Linked DNA regions of Mus musculus. The protein of the gene in region 2 binds, or shares a complex with, the protein of the main gene of each other region. Links are inferred from orthologs where the notes say so. Each region holds a gene or a part of one and is shown on either strand. Other genes may lie near its edges. The genes, in order: Ucn, Crhr2 and Gna11.

Region 1 (2,769 bases), on a different chromosome or scaffold from region 2:
CCCCCCCCCCAGGCTCAGGCCTGCACTGACCCGACTCTGATCCAGAGCGCACACCCGAAGCGGGAGCCAAGGGATGCTGAGGATCTGCGCAGAGACCACCGCGCCACCAAGCTCGGCTTCCCGCCCCCGGGAAGGTTCTCAATAAAGGACTCAAGTGTCCCACGTCCTCGGCTCCTTTTGCTGTCCACTCCTAGGCTCAGCTATAGAAGCAACCTCGCCATCGCTCTACCCTTTCTCAACCCCAGACCATCTGAAGGGGCGGAGGCGAAATAGTCCCTCGTGGCCATTCCCTTTACACTAGAGGTTGCCTCCTAAGCCGGAGACCCTGAAAGGGTATCAGACCTCCGAGTTCCGGGATCTGGCGGGTTGGGGGAAGGGCTCCCAGGAATTTAATAGGCTTCCTCTCCCATCTCATTTAGCATGCTTGTCTCTCCTACCGGCCTGGAGAGCTCCACTTTCCCAAAAGTTCTTACCCTAACTGTAGTTGCCGGTGCCCTCTCACCACTATGACAGAAGATAGAGGCTAAGCTCTTGGGCAGTTTTATTAAAAAATAACCACTCAGAGTATTCAGGGTGACTCTGGGCGGCGCTGCACCGCGGGACTGAGACAGCTCCGGTTGTGCGCGTTCCAGCCCCGGGGTAGGTAAGGGAAAGGGTCAAGGCTTTCGTGACCCCATACGGGGCCGATCACTTGCCCACCGAATCGAATATGATGCGGTTCTGCTCTGCGCGCTCGCGCTGGCTCTGTGTCCGAGCTAGCTCCAGCAGGGTCCGCAGCAGGTGGAAGGTGAGGTCGATGGACAGTGGAGGGTCGTCCCGTCGCTGCCGCTCGCCCGCAGGCTCAGATCCTGCGCGGCGCGGGAAGCGCTCCGCTAACAGCAAGAGGAGCGCGCGGACGCCGCCGCCCTGATTCCGCACTCCAGGGCTCCATCGCAGATTCGGATCCTGGACCCCAGTTGCCGCCGCAGCCGCTGGGCTCCACTGGCTGCTCTCCGGGCGAAGCTGTGCCAAGAGCAGCAACGCCACCAGGAGCGTAGCGCGTCCCCTCTGTATCATGGTGCCGCCTGCCCTGGACACACAGGGGCAGCATAGGGTGAGGTGCACTTGGAGCAGCCGCAGGTAACACGAGCCCCTTGGCGCGCACGCCCAGTGCCCCTGCCGAGACCCTCCAGCTGTTGCCTGGTGTCCACATCCTGCCCACCAGCCCTAGGCGCTGTGCCAGTCCAGTTCCACCCCTCTCTCCCTCCTTCCCTCCCGGCAGGTCACAGTGGGTGGGCTGAGTGCAGAGTCTTGGTGGTAAGGGAGTCTGGATCGTTGCTTCAAGCCACTCACAGGTTATCGGAGTGTCTGCCCAGTGCAAGATGGAGCTCCACTCTGTCCCCGGGGACGGGCTGAAGACGCCTTGGGGAGCACGGGGTCTGTCCCGGGACCGCCGCCAGCCTTATATAGCACCAGGACAGCTCCGACTGACGTCAGCGAAGAACATGAACTGATTGTAGAAACAATGACACCGGCAGCTTTGAGTCCAGCAGCTTCGAGCCCCCAGAGGGGTGCGTATCCTGACTTTGTGTCCCTGGAGCTATCTTTGGAAGCACCCTGGCTGTAGAGGGAGAAGCTGGCAGAGCCATAAAGATAGATCTTCCGGATGCAGAGTCCTTCCCCGACACAGAACCACCAATGTCTCCAGAGCAGGAATAGTCAGGGGTTGTTTCTCTTCTCAAGTAGAGAGGGAGGACTGTGGAGCTGTCCGTGGTTCCGAACTTCTTCACAGCCACAATCTGGACAGAAGTTCTGGGGAGAAGCCTGGGCTGCTTAGACACGGTCCCTAGGCCGGCTACTGGGTCCTCAAATTGAGATCAGAAATGCTCTGCTGGCAGGGGCTCAGACAACACAGTCCCACCCAAAGGCTCTCCAATACAGTGGGTCTGACCCATTCTACTGACCATTGTACAGCAGTACAAACTAAAATCTACAGGTGTCAGAATGGCATAAAAGGGTGTTTGGCTTTCAGAACTTAACGTACCTCCTGAGTTTGGCAAAGTCAGCTTTTTCCTAGGAAACACAGAAACAGTACTATTATACCTTTTTACCTTCTAGGTCAGGAGCTGGGGTGGTGCTGGTGCACTCCTTTAATCATAGCACCCAGGAGACAGAGGCAGGCAGATCTCTGAGTTTGAGGCCAGACTGGTCTACTGAGCTGGTTCCAAGACTACACAAAGAAACCCAGTTTTGAACACACACACACACACACACACACACACACACACACACACACACACACACAAACACACACACGAAAACGAAGAAATCACTAGGTAGAAGTGAGAAAACTTTGGCCCAAGTTCCTCCTCTGCCACCAGCTTGTGTAGTCAGGTCCCTCACTTCTGAAACCATTGGCGTCTGTCTTTGTAAATGAACAGCCTCTGCTTCTTTCCAGTTACAGACAGGTCTGTGCTCTTCTGAAGGGTCTTATTCATAGCCACTGCAGATCCCAGATAATAATGTATCTATTTCTGTGCCTATAAAGTCCCTGACAGGGTCTCGAAAGGCACTAGGACCTAGAAAAGTTAAGCGTGATAGCCACTCTAGTCTAGGGATGTTGCTTAGTTGTTAGAGCACGTGACTAGCATCCACAATGCTGAGTTCAAGTCTCAACTCTAGACAGGAAGTTGTATCTATACAGAGTGGGGACGTGTGCTAGCTATTGGGACATAGGTGTAAAGTTGGCAAGGTCATATTATTCTACAAATATCTGTGAGGAATATACTA
Region 2 (2,885 bases):
AGGTCCTGCTATCTGGGCACCTTGCTCCTAGACTCTGAGGGCACACATTGAGCACAGGCATGTTACTCCTGGCTTGTGTAGTTGACCTAAGCTGGCTCTGCAGGAGAAGTCCTATTCCCCTAAAGCTAAGTGGTTTCTTAGCCCCATCTCCTCAACTCCATAGATGGAGTTGAGAAGAGCCAGCGACGAAGCTCTTCTGAAAGACTGGGCAGCTTGGCTGGACCACCTGGGAGCACAGTCTAAGAGACCTGAGCCCCTAGACCACCCCAAAGGCCCTGTCTCCTACCTCTCCATTGAAGAAGCAGTAGAAAACGGACACAAAGAAACCCTAGAAAGGAAGGAAGGCGATGTGAGGCATCTGCTGAGGGGTCATTCCAGCCAGCAGTGTGGGAGGACATGGGATGGCTGGGTGGAGCTCAGAAGTCCTGGGCTTAGACGAGGCATACAGTTACCCCAGGGTCTGCTCTAAGCTGGGTGTGACCTCTTGCCTCAACATCCCGAGCTTGTCCTAGGTGTTCTGAGAAGTGCTAAGACAGTTAAGTCCCAGGATGGGGGTTACAATCAGGGCACCCTGGTCAGCATCTGGGGCCAAGTGGGGGTTCTGGATGTGCAAGCGCTTGCGTTTTGGTGCTCATATAACCCATCCTAGCGTGCCGGCTCAGTGTTAGCATCCGGGCCTGGGAGGTGTGCTGCCCCGGGGTGGGGGTGGGGGTGGGGGTGTCTACCTGGAAGGACTGCAGGAAAGAGTTGAAGTAGATGAACACAATCTGGGACAGGTCGTCCTCGCCAGGATTGACAAAGAAGAGCATGTAGGTGATGCCCAACAGGGGGAGGAGGACCAGCGTGGCCTTCACTGCCTTCCTGGATGGGGAAGCGAGAGGGTGAGAACAAGCCTGAGCTTGCCTATAGGATAGGATTCACTCGGGGAGGAGGGATGCGGTGCTATGCTTTGCTCAAGCAACTCTAGGGGCGAGGACCCCAAGGGCTCTGGTGATTGGACCCCCTTGCTTCTTCCATACCCGCCAGGTCAAGGTGTCCAGGCATTTCCGTACCTGTATTGGATTGTCTCGGACGTGGTGGATGCTCGTAACTTCGTCATCAGGATCCTGACGATGTTAAACAGAAATACAAAATTGATCTGGAAGAAAGCAGAGAGGGACACGGGAAGGGTGTGCGATGAGAGTGGGCTGAGAAAAAGAACCTCTGGCACCTGCAGAAGCTCCAGCACCGGGCACCTGCTTTGGTCACCCAACTTCTGCTCCTACCCAGCAGGGCAGGAAGGCACCCATTGACTCCAGGGCCTGCCTGCCCTCCACCCATGGTCCAGGCAGCTTATAAAGAAGATGGGTGGGGAATGTGACTACTCCTCTGGAGTCACTCCTGAGAACCCCACCCCCTGCTTTACTCCAAGACAATACAGAACCACGCCCCAGATCTCTGATCTACTTCTCTTGGTCACAGGGTTCCTACTTATTGGTGTAGGATCTCAGAGACTCTCAAACTGTCACCAGCTCTAGGATGGTTGGTCAAAGGTCCTTTCAGCCCTACCCTGGGGGGAGGGGGACATAGGCCAGATGGAGTGATTAGTCTCTACTACTCCTTCTCCTAGGTGCTCCAAAGCCTTCAGACACCCACGGGCGAGGAAGATAAATGGGCTGCCCAGTTGCGCTGGGAAAGGAACAATTAATCTTCATTTGGTGTTTTCCCTTAACATCAAAGACACTCCCACCTCTGACTGCTATGGGTCTGTTGGCTCCTGAGTCAGCTGCCTGCCACATGGGTCTCTGGCTCCCCCGCATCTCTTGCTCTCTGAGGGGGATCTCAAGAGTCAGTCAGTTGAGCAGCTGGTCCCTGGGGCTGTGCTGTCCCTCTGTGTATGCTGCCCTGTATGACTGTCCATATGTGCTTGTCTCAGAGTGGGTCTTGTGCGACCATGCGTATGTGTCTATCAGGGAACACCGTGTGCCTGCATTTCTCTTTAGGTATTGCTAAGTGCAGGCAAATGGGAATGGAATGTGTACATGCCTGTTGGGACTCTTTCCCCAGAAAGCGTTCACAGCCTGGGCGACACATAATTAGCCTAGAGATGTCTGCTGACCTATCTGTGTGGAGACACACACATGCTCCCCAGTCTCTGTCTAGAAAAATCCATTGCTTCTACAGATCGAGCCAGCCCTTCTAATTCTCTCACTCTATAGATTCAGGGAAGGGAATAAAGGACATCATTATATATCAGCCTTGTAGCCAACTGTCCCCAAACTGGGCAGTAGAGGAGCTGGAGACCTCAGGCTCCCATCTCCCTACACCTTACTTCTCTCTCACATTCATTTATAGACTATGGCCCAGTGAGCCCACAGACAGCCGGGAGGAAGTAAGAGGCTGCTCATGGCCTGCTGCCTGCTGCCTCTCAAGGTTCACCTAGCCTAAGGTAACACAAAGTTCTTTTTCTTTTCCCAAGTCTTTCTGATGTCTCTGAGAAATAAAAAGATACTCAAATTTCTTGGATTGAACATCATTCAACTCACTAACTGGTTCGTTCAATTATCTATCCCAATATTTCATCTCTCCATTAACCTACCAAATAGTCGTCCATCTATCCAACCACCCTCCCACCAAACACTTCATTCCATTTTCCACCCATTGTTTTTGCCCATCCATCCATCCATCCTCCCATTAACCCACCCATGTACCCAGCAATCACTGGCCACCTCTTGGCCACAGGGTCCTATTCTATGTTGAGAGGTAGCAGGAAAGGCGGCTGATATGGAGTGTCTAGAAGACCCTGTTCTACCTTTTCACTAACAGGCAGCCCTCACTTGGTTTTGTCTCCCTGGAAGCTACCCTTTCTTTTTGAGCTCATTTCCCAGCCCCCCCCCCTTTATAGT
Region 3 (3,620 bases), on a different chromosome or scaffold from region 2:
GCAGTGTTTGCCCAGAACCTGGGTGGCCTTATAGACCTGAATCACCTTTCTATAGCTCAGAGCCACACAGCAGCTGCCCAACTGGCCACACATTGCCAAGACTTGAGGTCATAGGCCATGTGGTCCCTAACTATGTCCCATGGGCCTCAGCCCTCACTGGAGTAGCTGTGGCAGCCAAGGAGGAACCTTGGCTGGGAGGTTTGGGGTAGGGACACTCTCCTGGGGAGATGCAGCCTCAGTGCCGAGGGAGCACAAGCCTGAGAGGCCACCCAGGGGAGTGAGTAGAAGGGAGTGATGGACGTGGTATGCTCACACGCATGGCCCACCAGGGAAAGGTTTTAAATAGGAACATGTCTCTGCCCTGGGGTCAGCATCATGGTGCCACTGGGAGTCTCACAAAACACCTTTAATCCCAGCACTTGGGAGGCAGAGGCAGGCGGATTTCTGAGTTTGAGGCCAGCCTGGTCTACAAAGTGAGTTCCAGGACAGCCAGGGCTACACAGAGAAACCCTGTCTCGAAAAACCAAAAAAAAAAAAAAAAAAAGAGGGAGCAGAAAGGGCACAACATGCCTGCAGGCCCAGGCCCCGTGACCTCCCGAGTCTGTGGATGTGGGTTCTGAATGGGAGCAAAGCACATCCATCCCCATGGCACCCCGTGCATCTCCAGGGTTTCTCTTGTGCTCTTCAGGTTCACAGGGGTCCCAGGAAGGGGTCTAAACCTCAGGATCCCCGCTGCTGCCTTCCAGTCCCGGCCAAGCCTGCGCATCTCTCCCCATCAGCTCCCTACGGTCTTACAGCATGCTGACCATCACCTGAAGATGATGTTCTCCAGGTCAAACGGGTACTCGATGATGCCAGTGGTGGGCACGCGTACCCGCAGCACATCCTGCTGGGTGGGCAGGTAGCCTACTGTGGCGATGCGGTCCACGTCCGTCAAGTAGCTACAACGTAGAGGTATCTGCTCAGGAGCCCACTGGGGCCATTGGACACCTGGGACATGGCACAGAACCCACAACCACCCACAGACAGACGGGAACCTGGCACTGGAGGGCTGGGACCTGTGTATTGGCTCTGGTGAGAGCACACTATCTCCATTGATCTAGAGTCACAGTTGTTCCAAATAGATGGCAGGAAGGGATTCAAGGCCTCTGGAAAGCTGGAGAGTGGGGCCCACTACAGCCAGGGCCACAGCATAGGAGGCAGACACTTCAGCAGGCTCAACTCAGGGTCACTGACCCAGGTGCCTTGCTGAGTCCTGAGTGCCCTGTCAGCTGGGATTCTCTGCAACACCTTCTCAACCACAGACTCCTCTAAGCTGTGACTTTCTCCTAGATGTCCTCAGGTCTCTGCTGCCCTGGTTGACCCTCCGGGCAGGCTAGGACTGGGCTCTTCTCCCAGCCAGGCATGGAACAGATGAGAAGCCTGAGTCCGGCCCCTGCTCTCTAAGCCTCATCTTGTTCTCTCTGAGGCCAGCATGTAGGCAATGAGTGGTCAGACCAGCCCTGCCCTGTGTGGACACACGATCTGGGCAGGAGAGTAGAGTGCTGCCCTGATTGGGCGGCCAGCCTGTGGGTAGTGAGTCTGTGGATAGGCTCTTGGGCCTAGGTCATGCCCACTCTGACCCCATCCACGTCTCTAGTGTTAGCCATGCATGCCAGCCCCACTCACTACTTAGCCGAGTCAGATAGCTGGAACTCCCGCCTGCGATCGTAACACTCCTGGACACCAGGGTCACTCCACAGCGTCTTGATGGCATTCACATACTGGTGCTCAAAAGTTGTGACCTTCTCCACATCGACCTCCCGGATCAGGAGTGCATTGGCCTGAGGGAGGAAGGGACTGTGAACTCCTGTGGGGGGACCCTGGGCAAGCAAGGAGCCTGCAGAGCCAGTAGGGCAGTGAGGGGAGCCAAGGCCTCTAGAAAGCGACAAGGCTACAAGGCCCACCGCCCACCACCCATGCTCCCTGACCACTCTGTGTGGGTGGGTATGAGGGCTGGGACAGATAATCTGCATTCCCCTTGATCTTGTGTAGCCCAGGCTGACCTTGAACTCACCCTGCAACCTCTATGTCCATACACTGGGATTTACTAGTGCTGGGGAGGGAACCCAGGGCTTCATACAGGCCAGGCAAGTGCTCTACCCACAAGAACCCAGCCCACCCTGGAACCTGATCCTTGGAAGCCCAGAAAGGGGAGTTGCTGCACAGGGCACACATAAGCTGAGGCTGCCTCCCGCTCTTGAAAGCACCAGGAGGTGGCCCTTCCACATCCCCAGGTCAGAGGAGCCAGTGAACCACACACCACCACTAACCAGCCCCCAAGAGCCTGACCGTGGATCCCTCCTCTTTAGTCTTCCCAAGGTAGCCTCTGTTCTGGGCTACTAGTAGATGTGGCTCCCAGCCTGATAAGGTTGATGACTCTACACGGCTCACATGGCACCCACCATGTACTGGGCTGCCTGGGCCTTGCTGAACCCTGGAGGGGCAGCTTCCACACATCTGCCTGTCCTTAAGTGGGAAGAACCCCACCTGTGACAGTGACTACCCTGGCCCTCATATAAGGAAGTAAGTTGGCAGAACCAGCCCCATCAGCCTGTTTGTGGAATGGGCAGAAGGCTGCTTCCAGCTGATGTGCCTGCAAAGCTTCCACAGTCCCCACCTGCCTCCCTGCACCAACAAGATGTGAGGCTCAAATGGGCCCAGAATCATCAACAACTGTCAGGAGGCTGCAGAGACACCAGGGCAGGGCAAGCGAGAGTCAAGGTGTTCCCTTCTATCCATATCCAGGACCACAGGACTCCAACTTGACACAAGGACTCCTCTACAGGGCCCCATGATCTAATGCAAAGTTCTTAAGGCAATACCTGGCCCTTGGGAGACAGAGGCAGAGGGATGGCAAGACTGGATCTTGAAGACCCTGAGCAAGAAGCTACTGAGCAAGAAGACCCTGTTTCTAAAGCAGAAGGGTTGGGGAATTGGCTCAGCGTAAGTTCAGGCCTAAGAGTCCAAGACCCTGAGCCTCATCATCCATCCATCCATCCATTCATACACACATACAGATGAACACACAGCCTGGTGGGGAAGGATCAAGAAAAACTGGGCGAGGAGAAATAATAAGTTGGAAATAATATGAAATTCTCAAAAAAAAAAGTTATTTCAAAATACTACTTAAACAACAGCAACAACAGTGAAGCTCAGTGGGCAGGAGTCTCCAGGAGGTCAGGTGATACTGACAACCCACAGCCAGCAGCCCTCCCCTACCTGTGCTCCTATTTCCTAGGTCCCGCCCTCATGGGAGGTCCCTTTCACAGACCCGGCCCTCAGAGGCAGGTCCCACCCACAGACCCCACAGACCCCTCAGAGGCAGGTCCCACCCACAGACCCCGCCCTTGAGGGCAGGTCCTTCCCACAGACCTGCCTCAAGGGCAGATACCTTCCACAGACCCCGCCTCGGGGGCAGGTACCTCCCACAGACTCCGCCTGGGCTGGCCCTCACCTTGTTCTGCTCATACTTGTAGAGGATCTTGAGCGTCTCCATGGCGCGCACCATGGCCTGCATGGCGGTAAAGATGTTCTGGTACACCAACTTGGTGAAGCCGCGCTTGTCCTCCTCCGAGTAG

Evidence for each region.
Region 1: the proteins of Crhr2 (region 2) and Ucn are in contact, whole or in part, in a cryo-EM structure (PDB 7TS0), measured with the Homo sapiens proteins. The link is inferred for Mus musculus from reciprocal best matches to the Homo sapiens genes CRHR2 and UCN. Residues at the interface, in NP_001874.2 of Homo sapiens: Phe68, Asn69, Gly70, Val71, Tyr73, Ile101, Leu102, Asp103, Asp104, Arg107, Asp110, Tyr113, Leu117, Asn120, Trp166, Leu169, Gln170, Val172, Asp173, His174, His177, Glu178, Thr188, Phe191, Asn192, Phe199, Phe256, Gly257, Lys258, Asp265; in NP_003344.1 of Homo sapiens: Asn84, Pro85, Ser86, Leu87, Ser88, Ile89, Asp90, Leu91, Thr92, Phe93, His94, Leu95, Leu96, Arg97, Thr98, Leu99, Leu100, Leu102, Arg104, Thr105, Ser107, Gln108, Arg111, Ala112, Asn115, Phe119.
Region 3: the proteins of Crhr2 (region 2) and Gna11 are in contact, whole or in part, in a cryo-EM structure (PDB 7TRY), measured with the Homo sapiens proteins. The link is inferred for Mus musculus from reciprocal best matches to the Homo sapiens genes CRHR2 and GNA11. Residues at the interface, in NP_001874.2 of Homo sapiens: Arg148, Tyr208, Leu209, Ala212, Ile213, Thr216, Glu220, Lys293, Lys307, Ala311, Phe358, Tyr359, Phe362, Asn363; in NP_002058.2 of Homo sapiens: Arg37, Ile348, Leu349, Asn352, Leu353, Glu355, Tyr356, Asn357, Leu358.

What each region holds. Positions count from the first base shown.
Region 1 is NC_000071.6:31,137,465-31,140,233, forward strand, and holds Ucn (urocortin preproprotein), read right to left. Parts: upstream 1,432-2,769; 5' UTR 1,333-1,431; intron 1,070-1,332; 5' UTR 1,057-1,069; coding exon 688-1,056; 3' UTR 525-687; downstream 1-524. Other genes in the region: Trim54 (tripartite motif-containing protein 54), read left to right, coding at 13-29. UniProt on the Homo sapiens protein: Acts in vitro to stimulate the secretion of adrenocorticotropic hormone (ACTH). Binds with high affinity to CRF receptor types 1, 2-alpha, and 2-beta. Plays a role in the establishment of normal hearing thresholds.
Region 2 is NC_000072.6:55,092,227-55,095,111, forward strand, and holds part of Crhr2 (corticotropin-releasing factor receptor 2 isoform 1 precursor), read right to left. Parts: intron 1,139-2,885; coding exon 1,053-1,138; intron 862-1,052; coding exon 726-861; intron 329-725; coding exon 287-328; intron 1-286. UniProt on the Homo sapiens protein: G-protein coupled receptor for CRH (corticotropin-releasing factor), UCN (urocortin), UCN2 and UCN3. Has high affinity for UCN.
Region 3 is NC_000076.6:81,531,584-81,535,203, forward strand, and holds part of Gna11 (guanine nucleotide-binding protein subunit alpha-11), read right to left. Parts: coding exon 3,497-3,620; intron 1,824-3,496; coding exon 1,669-1,823; intron 942-1,668; coding exon 813-941; intron 1-812. UniProt on the Homo sapiens protein: Guanine nucleotide-binding proteins (G proteins) function as transducers downstream of G protein-coupled receptors (GPCRs) in numerous signaling cascades.